Bombyx mori: one gene and its partners. The protein of the gene in region 3 purifies or fractionates together with the protein of the main gene of each other region. This does not show direct contact. Links are inferred from orthologs where the notes say so. Each region holds a gene or a part of one and is shown on either strand. Other genes may lie near its edges.

What was found.
Region 1: the proteins of exosome complex component RRP46 (region 3) and nuclear nucleic acid-binding protein C1D purify together in Homo sapiens (affinity purification with mass spectrometry; 4 studies listed by BioGRID and IntAct, counting the BioPlex papers as one, with this or other methods). This does not show direct contact. The link is inferred for Bombyx mori from reciprocal best matches to the Homo sapiens genes EXOSC5 and C1D.
Region 2: the proteins of exosome complex component RRP46 (region 3) and protein HBS1 purify together in Homo sapiens (affinity purification with mass spectrometry; 3 studies listed by BioGRID and IntAct, with this or other methods). This does not show direct contact. The link is inferred for Bombyx mori from reciprocal best matches to the Homo sapiens genes EXOSC5 and HBS1L.

Annotation. Positions count from the first base shown.
Region 1 is NC_085124.1:3,151,116-3,154,019, reverse strand, and holds nuclear nucleic acid-binding protein C1D, read right to left. Parts: upstream 1,736-2,904; 5' UTR 1,631-1,735; coding exon 1,184-1,630; 3' UTR 501-1,183; downstream 1-500. UniProt on the Homo sapiens protein: Plays a role in the recruitment of the RNA exosome complex to pre-rRNA to mediate the 3'-5' end processing of the 5.8S rRNA; this function may include MPHOSPH6.
Region 2 is NC_085121.1:12,890,183-12,894,430, forward strand, and holds protein HBS1, read left to right. Parts: upstream 1-1,448; 5' UTR 1,449-1,762; coding exon 1,763-3,778; 3' UTR 3,779-3,975; downstream 3,976-4,248. UniProt on the Homo sapiens protein: GTPase component of the Pelota-HBS1L complex, a complex that recognizes stalled ribosomes and triggers the No-Go Decay (NGD) pathway.
Region 3 is NC_085131.1:1,264,168-1,268,163, reverse strand, and holds the start of exosome complex component RRP46, read right to left. Parts: upstream 2,801-3,996; 5' UTR 2,763-2,800; intron 2,757-2,762; exon of another isoform or gene 2,683-2,756; 5' UTR 2,606-2,682; coding exon 2,503-2,605; intron 2,280-2,502; coding exon 2,153-2,279; intron 1,534-2,152; coding exon 1,425-1,533; intron 1-1,424. UniProt on the Homo sapiens protein: Non-catalytic component of the RNA exosome complex which has 3'->5' exoribonuclease activity and participates in a multitude of cellular RNA processing and degradation events.

The DNA.
Region 1 (2,904 bases), on a different chromosome or scaffold from region 3:
TGTAGAAAAAAATATATGAAATTCTTTGGAGTTTGATTTTTCAATTTCTAGTTAAACAGACAGCTCAGTAGAATTCATGCAATGGTTTAAATTTTCATTATTTCGACGCCTTTACAGATCAATGTCTTCACTCACTGTCCTCATACATGAAACTTATTAGTCTCATGAGATAAGTTAAAAAATATATTTAAAGAGCAGTGGAATTTTTTTTCACTCTTTTTGACCTCAAACTAGGATTCTCTATATTAACTAGTGATTTATGTAATTTTTTTATCACTAAGATGGGTGGTCGAGCTCACTGATGTTAAGTGGTCACTGGAGCCCATAAACACCAAAAGCATGAATGCTGTTACCTACCTTGACAAAGTCAAAAGTTCTAAGTCTCAGGTTTTACAGAACAATGGCTGCCCTACCCTACATGGGAGAAATCAGCTGAGAGGCAATAGCTACCCATAGAGGCTTGCAAGATGCCTTACCACCAGTAATTGTACAAATTATAGTTTCGATTTGTATTAGACTAAGTTATTCCTTCACCATGGAAGTGCAAATCACTCATCAACATTTGTTCAGTATGTATTTCATTACAAAAATTGTTAGGATTCAAATACCAGCACAGTCACACTACTCAATTTGAATGCACAAGGCGTCTTATCCTTTAGTATTAGACTTCATTGGTACCTATTGAATTCATTGCATTTTAAGAATTTTGGAAAAAAGAGATATATGTATGTGTATCTCTTCTTTCATAACCAACCAGCCACTATAAATTATTGAATAGGTGAAATCGTCTCTTTCGCTATTTTATTAATACAGTACCTATAATAGTATCACACAATTGTGGATATTTGACATTATACTATAAAACAGACTTAGAACTCATGTGGCAAGGTGGATGCTTTGAGCTCTAGTAACCATTTAAATCCATACTGAGTCATGAGCTCTTCCAGTTATCTAGGCAATGAAAATATGAATAACAATAAGAAACATCACATGATCTTCATTAAGACACCACAACTGATTCAAAACTACTAATTTCGTAAATCTTAACTGACCCTGACTGAGAATTTTAAAAAGAGCCCTTAGTCACCAATCAATCATGTAGGTGTAACATATAAAATTCAACAATTTTCCTTAAAAATACCAAAATAGTTAAAAATTACAGATAATTAATTCTTTCAACGAATTACTCTTCGTTATCTGAAAATTTTATTCGTTTGTTTAGTTGTTTCACGGGAGCCCTCTGATGGTCGTACAGACCATTCCGTACTAAACGTTTCGCCACTTCAACGTTAACGGTGGGTCTTTTCTGGCGATCCTTCACTTCCTGCCACTTTAACATTGTAGCTTTTATTCTGAGCAGTTCATCTTTGATGGGATGTTTTGTGGGATCGATGCCTTTTGTTCGTAAATGTATCCAATGTAGTGAATTTAAAGTGTATACAAAAAACAAATCTAGTTCAATCTGAGCTGGTAGTGACATTTTGTCGTAATTTTTCTTCAACGGAAGGAGTTTATCGAGTACTTGTTGTACTTCTATTAAATTCTCTTTCAAATTTTCAACATTGTTCACGAAATCTTTGTCTTTGGCGAGTTCGCCGTATTTAAAGTCCCAATTAAGTTCTTGGCACATTTTACGTTTTAATTATAAACTGTTTTTTCTTTTCTTTAATAATAATTAACCTAACATAAAAATTAATATAGAACGGCATGAACATACGTCACTTGCGTGTGGCCAGGATTTTTTTAAGGGATTTTATGACCTGGTAACTAAAACTTTTAAGTCATGTCTTATTTTAATTTATTTTATTTTTAAATTATGAAAAATGATAAATAGGAGTGAATTGTATTGAAGACATTGATGTATTAAAAAACCCAAGATACAAACTCAGCGTCTCAAAAACGTCCACATAAAATGAGTCATTTCAAATAGTCTCGCGTCGCACGCGTCTCTGGCCGTTTTCCAATTACAGCACAAGAGCGCATTATGCGGCATAATGCTCAACTAAGCTTCAGCATAATTCGGCATTGTGCTTCACTGAGTCGCATTATGCTCTGTAATTAACCATTACTTAATGGTAGTTTTCCAATTATGCTGAAGGTTAGTTGAGCATTATGCCGCATAATGCGCTCTTGTGCTGTAATTGGAGAACGGCCTGTGTGCGCTCGTCAAAATTGCCGAAGTATTCGTTGAGAAATTGTAAAAATATTACGTTAAGAACGTTAAAAAAGGACGGGATATCGTATATTCGGTAAGTAAAAGAGTTTGTTAATTTGTTTTTGTTGTTTTTATGACTAAATATAGGAAGTATTAGGTGATTTTGATTTAATTTTTCTAAGAACTTCACTCAACGGTTCAAGTATAATACGTCAAATCTCAATAGCCACTTTTTCAGTGTAAGAACTACTATTACAATGCCTTTTATTTTAGTCGCATAATCCGAACGATCTAAAGGAAGTGTTTGGAACCTCTGGGTCTGCGGAGGGACTTCGGTTCCCTCTGTATTTTGTACTGCATGTTCCATGGGGAGTGCTCTGAGGAATTGTTCGAGATGATACCAACGTCTCGTTTTTACCATCGCACCGCCCGGAGTAGAGTTCATCCATAATACCTGGAGCCACTGCGGTCATCCACAGTGCGTTTCCAGAGGTCTTTTTTGCCACGTACCATTCGGCTATGGAATGAGCTCCCCTCCACGGTATTTCCCGAGCGCTATGACATGTCCTTCTTCAAACGAGTGGAGAGTATTAAGCAGTAAGCAGCGACTTGCCTCTGCCCCTGGCATTGCTGAAGTCCATGGGTGACAGTAACCACTCACCATCAGGTGGGCCGTATGCTCGTCTGTCTACAAGGGCAATAAAAGAAATCTTGTTCTTATTCAATGGAGTCGATTTTTTTTATTGTGT
Region 2 (4,248 bases), on a different chromosome or scaffold from region 3:
ATACATATTTAAATTTTTAGATACATTAAATTAACAAAATAAAAATATTCACACTACTTTCCATCTCACGTTTCCATCGAAAGGTCCAAATAATTAATGACTGTGTAATAAAACGCCAGCACCATTTAGATATTGTGGAATTACTAAAAATCAACAATACAGGTGGGATAGTATTTTTACTTCATATATGTACAATTAATGATTGAAAAACCGACGTTTAGTTTTGAAACAACGAGCTAAGTTAACGTATCACGTGCTTTTGATGTTTAATTTGCAAGAGATGGGTGATGCTATATTGTGGAATTACTAAAAATCAACAATACAGGTGGGATAGTATTTTTACTTGATATATGTACAATTAATGATTGAAAAACCGACGTTTAGTTTTGAAACAACGAGCTGAGTTAACGTATCACGTGCTTTTAATGTTTAATTTGCAAGAGATGGGTGATGCTAATCTTTACTGAAACAATAGAGAAACGCAACTCTGTTAAGCACTGTTAAGCAGTATTTAGCATTTGAAGCATTTTAAATATTTTCACATTCATAATGGAAAAAAAATTGAGAGAAAGGATTACTGGTGTCCTGGTGGCATTTCCAGTTTCACAAGCGAGCACCGGCTCAGCCAGGAGCGACGGTAATTGCTAACAGCCTCCTGAGGGCCTCCGGAGAAAACTAACAACTCAAAGGCAACTGCTTCACGAATGAACCTCATTTACATTAATTTATATTTACTTGGCAATTCATAGATAAAATTATGGAGACCAGAGGATCTGTCGAGATATTATTTTATGACCGCGTCCGGAGAATTGGGATTTCGAGCTTCCTCAAATTGGTGATATTGACATGACTTCAATGCGTTCTTTTTTTTCCTACCTATGCTGGTACCTTAGAACGTTATTCTTGCGTAACTTGACGAGTAAGTGAGCTCGCGGGGCTCTAACCTGTGACGTTGCTAACACGAGCCCTAGCAAGAGCCGTGCTTCGCAGAATCTACCACCAGATCGGAAACGCGACCCACTGTGAAGATTCGGCAAGAAACTCAGTGGGCTGTGTCTGAGGGTTAATTTACTCGTCGAGCCCTTCGTCGCAAGCGACGGGTTCGACGAGAACGGTGACCGGTGCTTGAAGTACCTAAAAGCACCGTTAGTGGATCGGGAGGATCCGAGATGACGTGTTTTGGGCGATGTCGACTGCTTTCCATTCTTTCCGCAGGATCGGGAATGTAGTTACCGGCGGCCACGATGAGAGGGTTCTCGTGTCGTGCCGCTTTATCGAAGTGGTGCATCGACGCCGACTGCAGATACTTACTGATGGACTCTAAGTCCAGGTCGTCATGGAGGTCGACGTTCCTGCCGAACCACGGGGCTCCGACGGCTATCCTGCAAAAACGGGATTGAATGATTTGGAATGATTTTAAGTGAGTGCGGGCCGCGTGAGCGAACACTACACTTGCATAGGTCATGACGGGGCGTATGCAAGTTTTGTAGAGTGTCACCTTATTTCTAAGGAACATTTTACTTCGCCTGCATATCATCGGGTAGAATAATCACACAAAAGATTCCACTGGATTCGGTGTGATATTTTCGCCTTTTCTGTATCGAAAAAGTAAAACGACTAATGTCAAAAAAGCTGCTGTCATTGCTGTCACTAACCCAAAACGAAACGTGTTATTTATTTTGCGAGTTTTTCCGAAAAACATCCATTTATTGCAAATATGGTTTCTGTAACATAGGAACACTTTTGATATTATTAATGAACAATGGCTCGACATCGTAACATTCGGAACAGAAGTTACTCTGATGACTATGATGACGATGATTTTTATGGACATTCAGTGGAAGAGGATAGTTGTTTATCTCCAAGTGATGCGTCGCAATGGATCTACGACCGATCACGAAACCAACAGGTGATATCTAACCTTCTCGATAGACACAGCAATATCCAGGAGGAAGCCGAAGATGAAGTTCAAGATGTTCAAGTACCGGGCCCACAACGAAGAGAGTCTACCGACCTCTGCAGCCTCAAGCTTGACGCGGAAGGTGAAACCAGGCTCATGTCTTGCTTAGATGAACTTCGGAATATTTTAGGTGATACAGTATCGGAAAATACAATGATTCAGAGTGTGCTTAAACATAATTTTGATTACAACAAAGCTTTAGACGATATACTTAATAGTGATAAGAGTAAAAATAAAGATTCATCCACATCTAAACCAGTTAAGCCTGTTATTACTAATACAGTGAAAACCACAACAGCATTAGTAGCTCCTAAAGTTATAGCTACAAGTGTAGATCAGAAGAGTGCTGTAATCAAGGGTTTTAAAGTGGACCAAGAGCCAAAGCCTAATAGTCGCCCTCAGACACCTAGAGGGCAGTCTCCTCACCCAGAAAAAAGCAAGACTGAACAAAATGATGACATGAAAAATTTAAAAGTAAAAGAGAACAAAATTGATGCAAAAAAACAATATGCCAATGAGAGAGGTTCTGACAAAGATCATTTGTACATTGTCGTGATAGGTCATGTTGATGCAGGAAAATCTACATTAATGGGCAGATTATTATGTGAGCTCGGAGAAGTCAGTCAAAAAACTTTGCACAAATATGAACAGGAGAGTAAAAAGATTGGAAAGCAAAGCTTTATGTATGCCTGGGTGCTTGATGAAACAGGAGAGGAAAGAGTCCGAGGAATCACTATGGATATTGGGCGTGCCCAGATTGAAACAAAGACAAAGAGGGTTATAATATTAGATGCACCGGGGCATGCTGATTTTATCCCTAATATGATAACTGGTGCTGGTCAAGCTGATGTTGCTATGTTGGTAGTTGATGCAACTAGGGGAGAGTTTGAATCCGGATTTGATTTCGGTGGTCAAACAAGAGAACATGCATTACTAGTGAGGTCACTTGGTGTAAGTCAGCTGGCTGTTGCCATTAACAAACTGGATACAGCCAACTGGTCTCAAGACAGATTTAATGAAATCACCAATAAACTTAAGGTTTTTTTGAAACAAGCAGGATTCAAAGATACAGATGTCACCTATGTGCCTTGTTCAGGACTCATTGGTGAGAATCTTGTGAAACCAGCAAGCGAACCTGAATTAACTAAATGGTACAAAGGACCCTGTCTTTTAGATGTGATTGACAAATTCAATGTTCCAGAGAGGCCTGTGTCTAAGCCATTACGTATTTCAATCAATGATGTGTTCAAAGGTACCGGTTCTGGATTTTGTGTTTCGGGACGCATTGAAAACGGAGTTCTAAAGAAGGGCGATAAAGTATTGGTTTGTCCAACAAAAGAAATGGCTGAAGTTAGAAGTTTAAGTATAAATGATCTTACTAATAATGTAGCATTTGCTGGAGACCAAGTCACATTGACTTTGTCTGGGGTGGACATGCAGAATGTGTCAGTTGGATACATACTCAGCGATCCTATTGAGCAGGTTTCTGTTACAACACGTTTCGAGGCCCGAATAGTAGTTTTCAATGTTAAAGTACCAATAACAAAAGGCTTTCCGGTGCTTGTTCACTATCAATCATTGGTAGAATCTGCTAATATTGTCAAGCTTAAGGCATTACTCAGCAAAAGTACCGGTGAGCTAATTAAAAAGAAACCTCGTTGCTTAGGAAATAATTCTGTGGCAGTTGTTGAAATTGAGACCAGCAGGCCCATATGCATCGAGAGATATAAAGATGTTAAGGAGCTTGGTCGTGTTATGTTACGCGTCGCAGGTGTCACCATAGCAGCAGGCCTTGTCACTGATATTATCAGCACATGATTGATCTGATAAAGATTATTATAATCTAAATATACAACTAAAAGATTTGTTACTAATTGAAGATGTGATAAATTAAAAATATGGTTATGTTTGGACATTTTAGCTTTGCACGCGTGAATAGTCTACAATAATGTACTGTTTTGAAGTATAATTTATTATTTATAATGTAATGCTAATAAATTGTTTCATGTTACAAATGTTTTTTATTTCTGAATTTGAAAACTATGAGAATATGCTAAACAGAAGATTCTATCGACGTCCTTAAATTGCAGTTTATCTGATTCTCAAATCATTCAGGACACCAGCCAGTATTCTCAATTTTGTGCTACTTTTATTATTAAAATTGACCTAAGCATCCTACAAGTCGTATACGAAATGGACATTCTCATTCTCGCTCACGACTCGGTCGTGCGCGGACGTGCTTTCCGATCCGTGGCCCGCTTGCGAGCTGCGTCTCTGAACTCACAGTT
Region 3 (3,996 bases):
CAACTTTGACGACACTCCAACTCTTCAAACGATTAAGAACTGGGTTGCTAAGTTCGAGGAGACCGGTTCGACGTTAGATAAACCGCGGTTGGGTCGCCCAAGGACGTCACGTACGGAACAAAACATAGACACAGTGACACAGTCTATTCGCGAAAATCCGACACAGTCAACTCGTAAGCGCGCCAGAGCATTAAACGTATCCAGGACATCGTTACAACGGATTTTGAAGAAAGATTTACATGCCAGGACGTGGTTTCAACAGGATGGGGCCACTTCTCACACCTCTAACACTGCTATGCCCGTTATCCGTCAACTTTTTCCTGGCAAAGTTATCTCTAAGAGAGGAGACATTTCCTGGCCTCCACGTAGTCGAGATCTGACCCCGATGGATTTTTTTTTGTGGGGCTACCTTAAGGCTAAAGTATACGACACAAACCCGCGGTCGATTGAGGCCCTAAAAGAAAACATCCGCAGAGAAATGACAAGCATTTCAGCAGTGACGTGCCGCGCAGTCATCGACAATTTTAGACGTCGTTTGCAAGAGTGCCGTGTTCGCAACGGATTACATTTAGGAGATGTTATTTTCAAAAAATAATTCCCGTTTTTTAAGCTTTTTATGTAAATAAAAATTTAATTCATAATGTAATTAGTTTTATTTTAATAATTTTTTTTTCATATCAAAGGACTTATGGGCCACCCTGTATTATTCGTGAACTATTCCACGCGGACGAAGTCGCGGGCAAAAGCTAGTACATATATAAATGAATTGCTGTTCGTTAGTCTCGCTAAAGCTCGATAACGGCTGGACCGATTTGGCTAATTTTGGTCTTGAATGATTCGTGGAAGTCCAGAGAAGGTTTGAAAGGTAAATAAATATGAAAATGCTCGGAACTAAATAAAAATAACAATTTTGTTTTTCCTTTGTTGTGTCCCGCGTCGGACGGATTCCTTTTGTTTGTTTTAAGTTTATTTTATACAAAAGTTTAGGTCTTTTATTTATCGATTGAGGCACTACGAAGTCTGCCGGGTCAGCTAGTTAATAATAAATTCACAATTTAATAATACATTGACATTTAATAATAAAAATAATTTGGCCACTATTAAATATGTAGCATATTGAAATCTGGTAACCACTTTACATCGGTTGAGCTCATCAAATGATCTGTGAAATTAACAGAAAACATTATCTATATCAATTAAAACAATTTTCGTTTTTTTTTTTCATTATTTTTGTTTACAAGCCTGAAGCATGTGTAGAAAGCTTGAGAGTGAAGAACTACCCCCACTTAAAAGCAATAGGCAGATCATAACTGCTCCATGCTAGAAGCAGATAGATCATTAATCACCAGTACTTCCAATACCACCAATCTTCATTTTTAGGAACAATTCCAATTCACCCTCGTTAAATACAAATCAGTACTCACACCACCATAATCTTCTAGTTCCTGTATAGTAACATTTATACCAGTTCTAGGATACAGAGAACCAAGTATTGCTGCTTCACATGTCTGTTTCACTATATTCTCTTTGTATCTGTAATAACATGTAATATGATTACAATTCAACAATCGACTGTAACACCTATTTCTTGAAAATATTCCACAATTTAACATCACTTACAGATGTTTCTTTGAGAAACCTTTCATGAAGCATCAACAGAGACTGGTGGAAGACTTATGGGGATCAACCTCAATCACTTTGTTAATGTCTACCCTAACAGAGTCGCAGTGCTTTGCTGAATCTACCATGTCAGAAAAGTGACTCACTTAGAAGATCAAGCAAGAATATCAATAAGTTGTGTATCTGCCATATTGAACTCTGTTGTATCTAGTAATGTTTAAACAATACATTCATTAATGACAACCAAATTTATGTTTTTTGTAGACATATGACCCTCCTAATGGTAAGTGGTTACATTCGCTCACGCCAACGTCAATGTTAGGGGCAAAGCCAAGCAGCTACATGCCATTATGTACTCTCAAAGAAGCCTCGTTTGAAGAAGGACATGTCATAACGCTTGGGAAACACCACAGAGGGTAGTTCATTCCAAAACCGAACGGTGGATTTCATCTATTATTATACAAATGACCACTGACAAGCAAATATTGTTATTAAATTAATTTCCAATAGCCATATAGCTCTAATACATTACCTGTTTTCCACGCTCGGTTTCCCATTCTTATTACTGAACAAAACCTCAAGAGTTGACTTATCTATTCGTTGACTGGTCATCTTTATATCTAAAGGTCCATTTACGCTCACCAATGATACAGTATCCCCTGTAAAAATATTTACAAGCTTTGATGAACGATTTTCTGTCCAAGAAGTTTTAATTAACATTGTTGTACTTTTTAAGACGATGAACTTTGAATGTTCGTAAAATCTTACTGTTCTACTTATTTTTTGTAAAAATACTAAATTATTATTTAACATGTTGTACCTAAATTAAGAGTTTCGGTAAAATGACCACAGCTAGATTATAGGGCATAAAACTGTTTTTACCTTGTGATAAAATAGCTGATCCATCAGATTTGCTCAGGAAGTTGAATTCACATTTCATAGGTTTTAATTTAAAATCCTGTACATCCTTCATATCAGTCACCATATTTAATTCGTTCAAATGTTTAAATATATCTTGAAGTAGTACAATGAAACTTGATTGCTAATTGGGTTTCTGATTTTCTAAAATTCAAAGATGATCTTTATTTATTTTAATAACAAGAAAAATATAGAAAACACATAGACCTATATAGTATATATACCTATATAGGTTTCCTACTTCATTGAGAAAACATGTGAGAATGACATTGACAGTAGTATTCGTTTGTTTTTTACAACCAGAAGGGCAAAGCTATTGAAACATACAGCCTAATCTTTTGTAAATTCTATTTTATGAAGACGATATGAAAATGAAATGAAATTAGGTTGATTAATTTCAAACATTAATTAATTGGAATTAAATTAAAACTAAGACTTATTAAGACTATTTCAGTGGACTGTTTGGAAGATCCCGAGGATCAACGTCCGGTGACTTTGTTTTATTTACCTAAATTTATGCACTTTCCCAGATACTAAACAGTTCATAAACATCCATTAGTACATGTTTAAACATGAAGAAACATTAAATTAACAAAATAAAACTATTCTCACAACTTTGCTACTCGCGTTCCCGCCAAAAAGTCCAAAATAGGAGTACATAATTATCTATTTAGGTACATTGTCCTTAGTCTGAGTTTTTTAAAGTTGAGTTGACACAACGCCCTTATCGGCAAGAGTAGGTTCCAACTCATCATAATCTTTCATCTTTAAAAACTGAATCATTATCCCAATTTAGTACTTTTTTCAGTGTGCTCAATATTTTAAGTTTTTTGAAAAAAAATCTCTATCTTCGAGATCTATATATTAATACGTGAAGCAAAAACTGTGTATCCCTTTTTACGAAAATTGCGCGGAAGGAGGAGTATGAAGTTTTCCACACTTATAGAGAATATAGAGAAGAAGTGCACAATGCTAATCTTTTTTAAAATAATGCATAAAAGATACATTAAATCAATAAAGAAAACATTACACACACTACATACCATGTATTTGACGCACACACGCATGCATATTATTTATTGTTAAACTTTTGTTCTTTTTGTTGTCAAATTGAGAATAGATTAAATATTGTTTGTCTTTGTTAATATTTTTTAAAGTGTAGTCTTGGCGAAATTTGTAAAGAAGTATAAAATACAATCATAATAGTGTACTAGTTTAAATAAATGACTCAACTTAACAAGAACAAACACAGGAGAAGTAGCGTTCTGCAGAAAAGCTTTACTAGCACTCTACGAGTTATTAACTTCCACCAGGAAGCCTGATTTTATTGAAGGGAGCTATGTTATGTGTTTACTGGAACAGTCATTACGAAAATCTTGTATTAGCTATTCAAACTCGCCCGATATTTCTTCCCGAGAAGGGTATTTTCATTTTTTTCTTACAACAAGGACTTAGCAG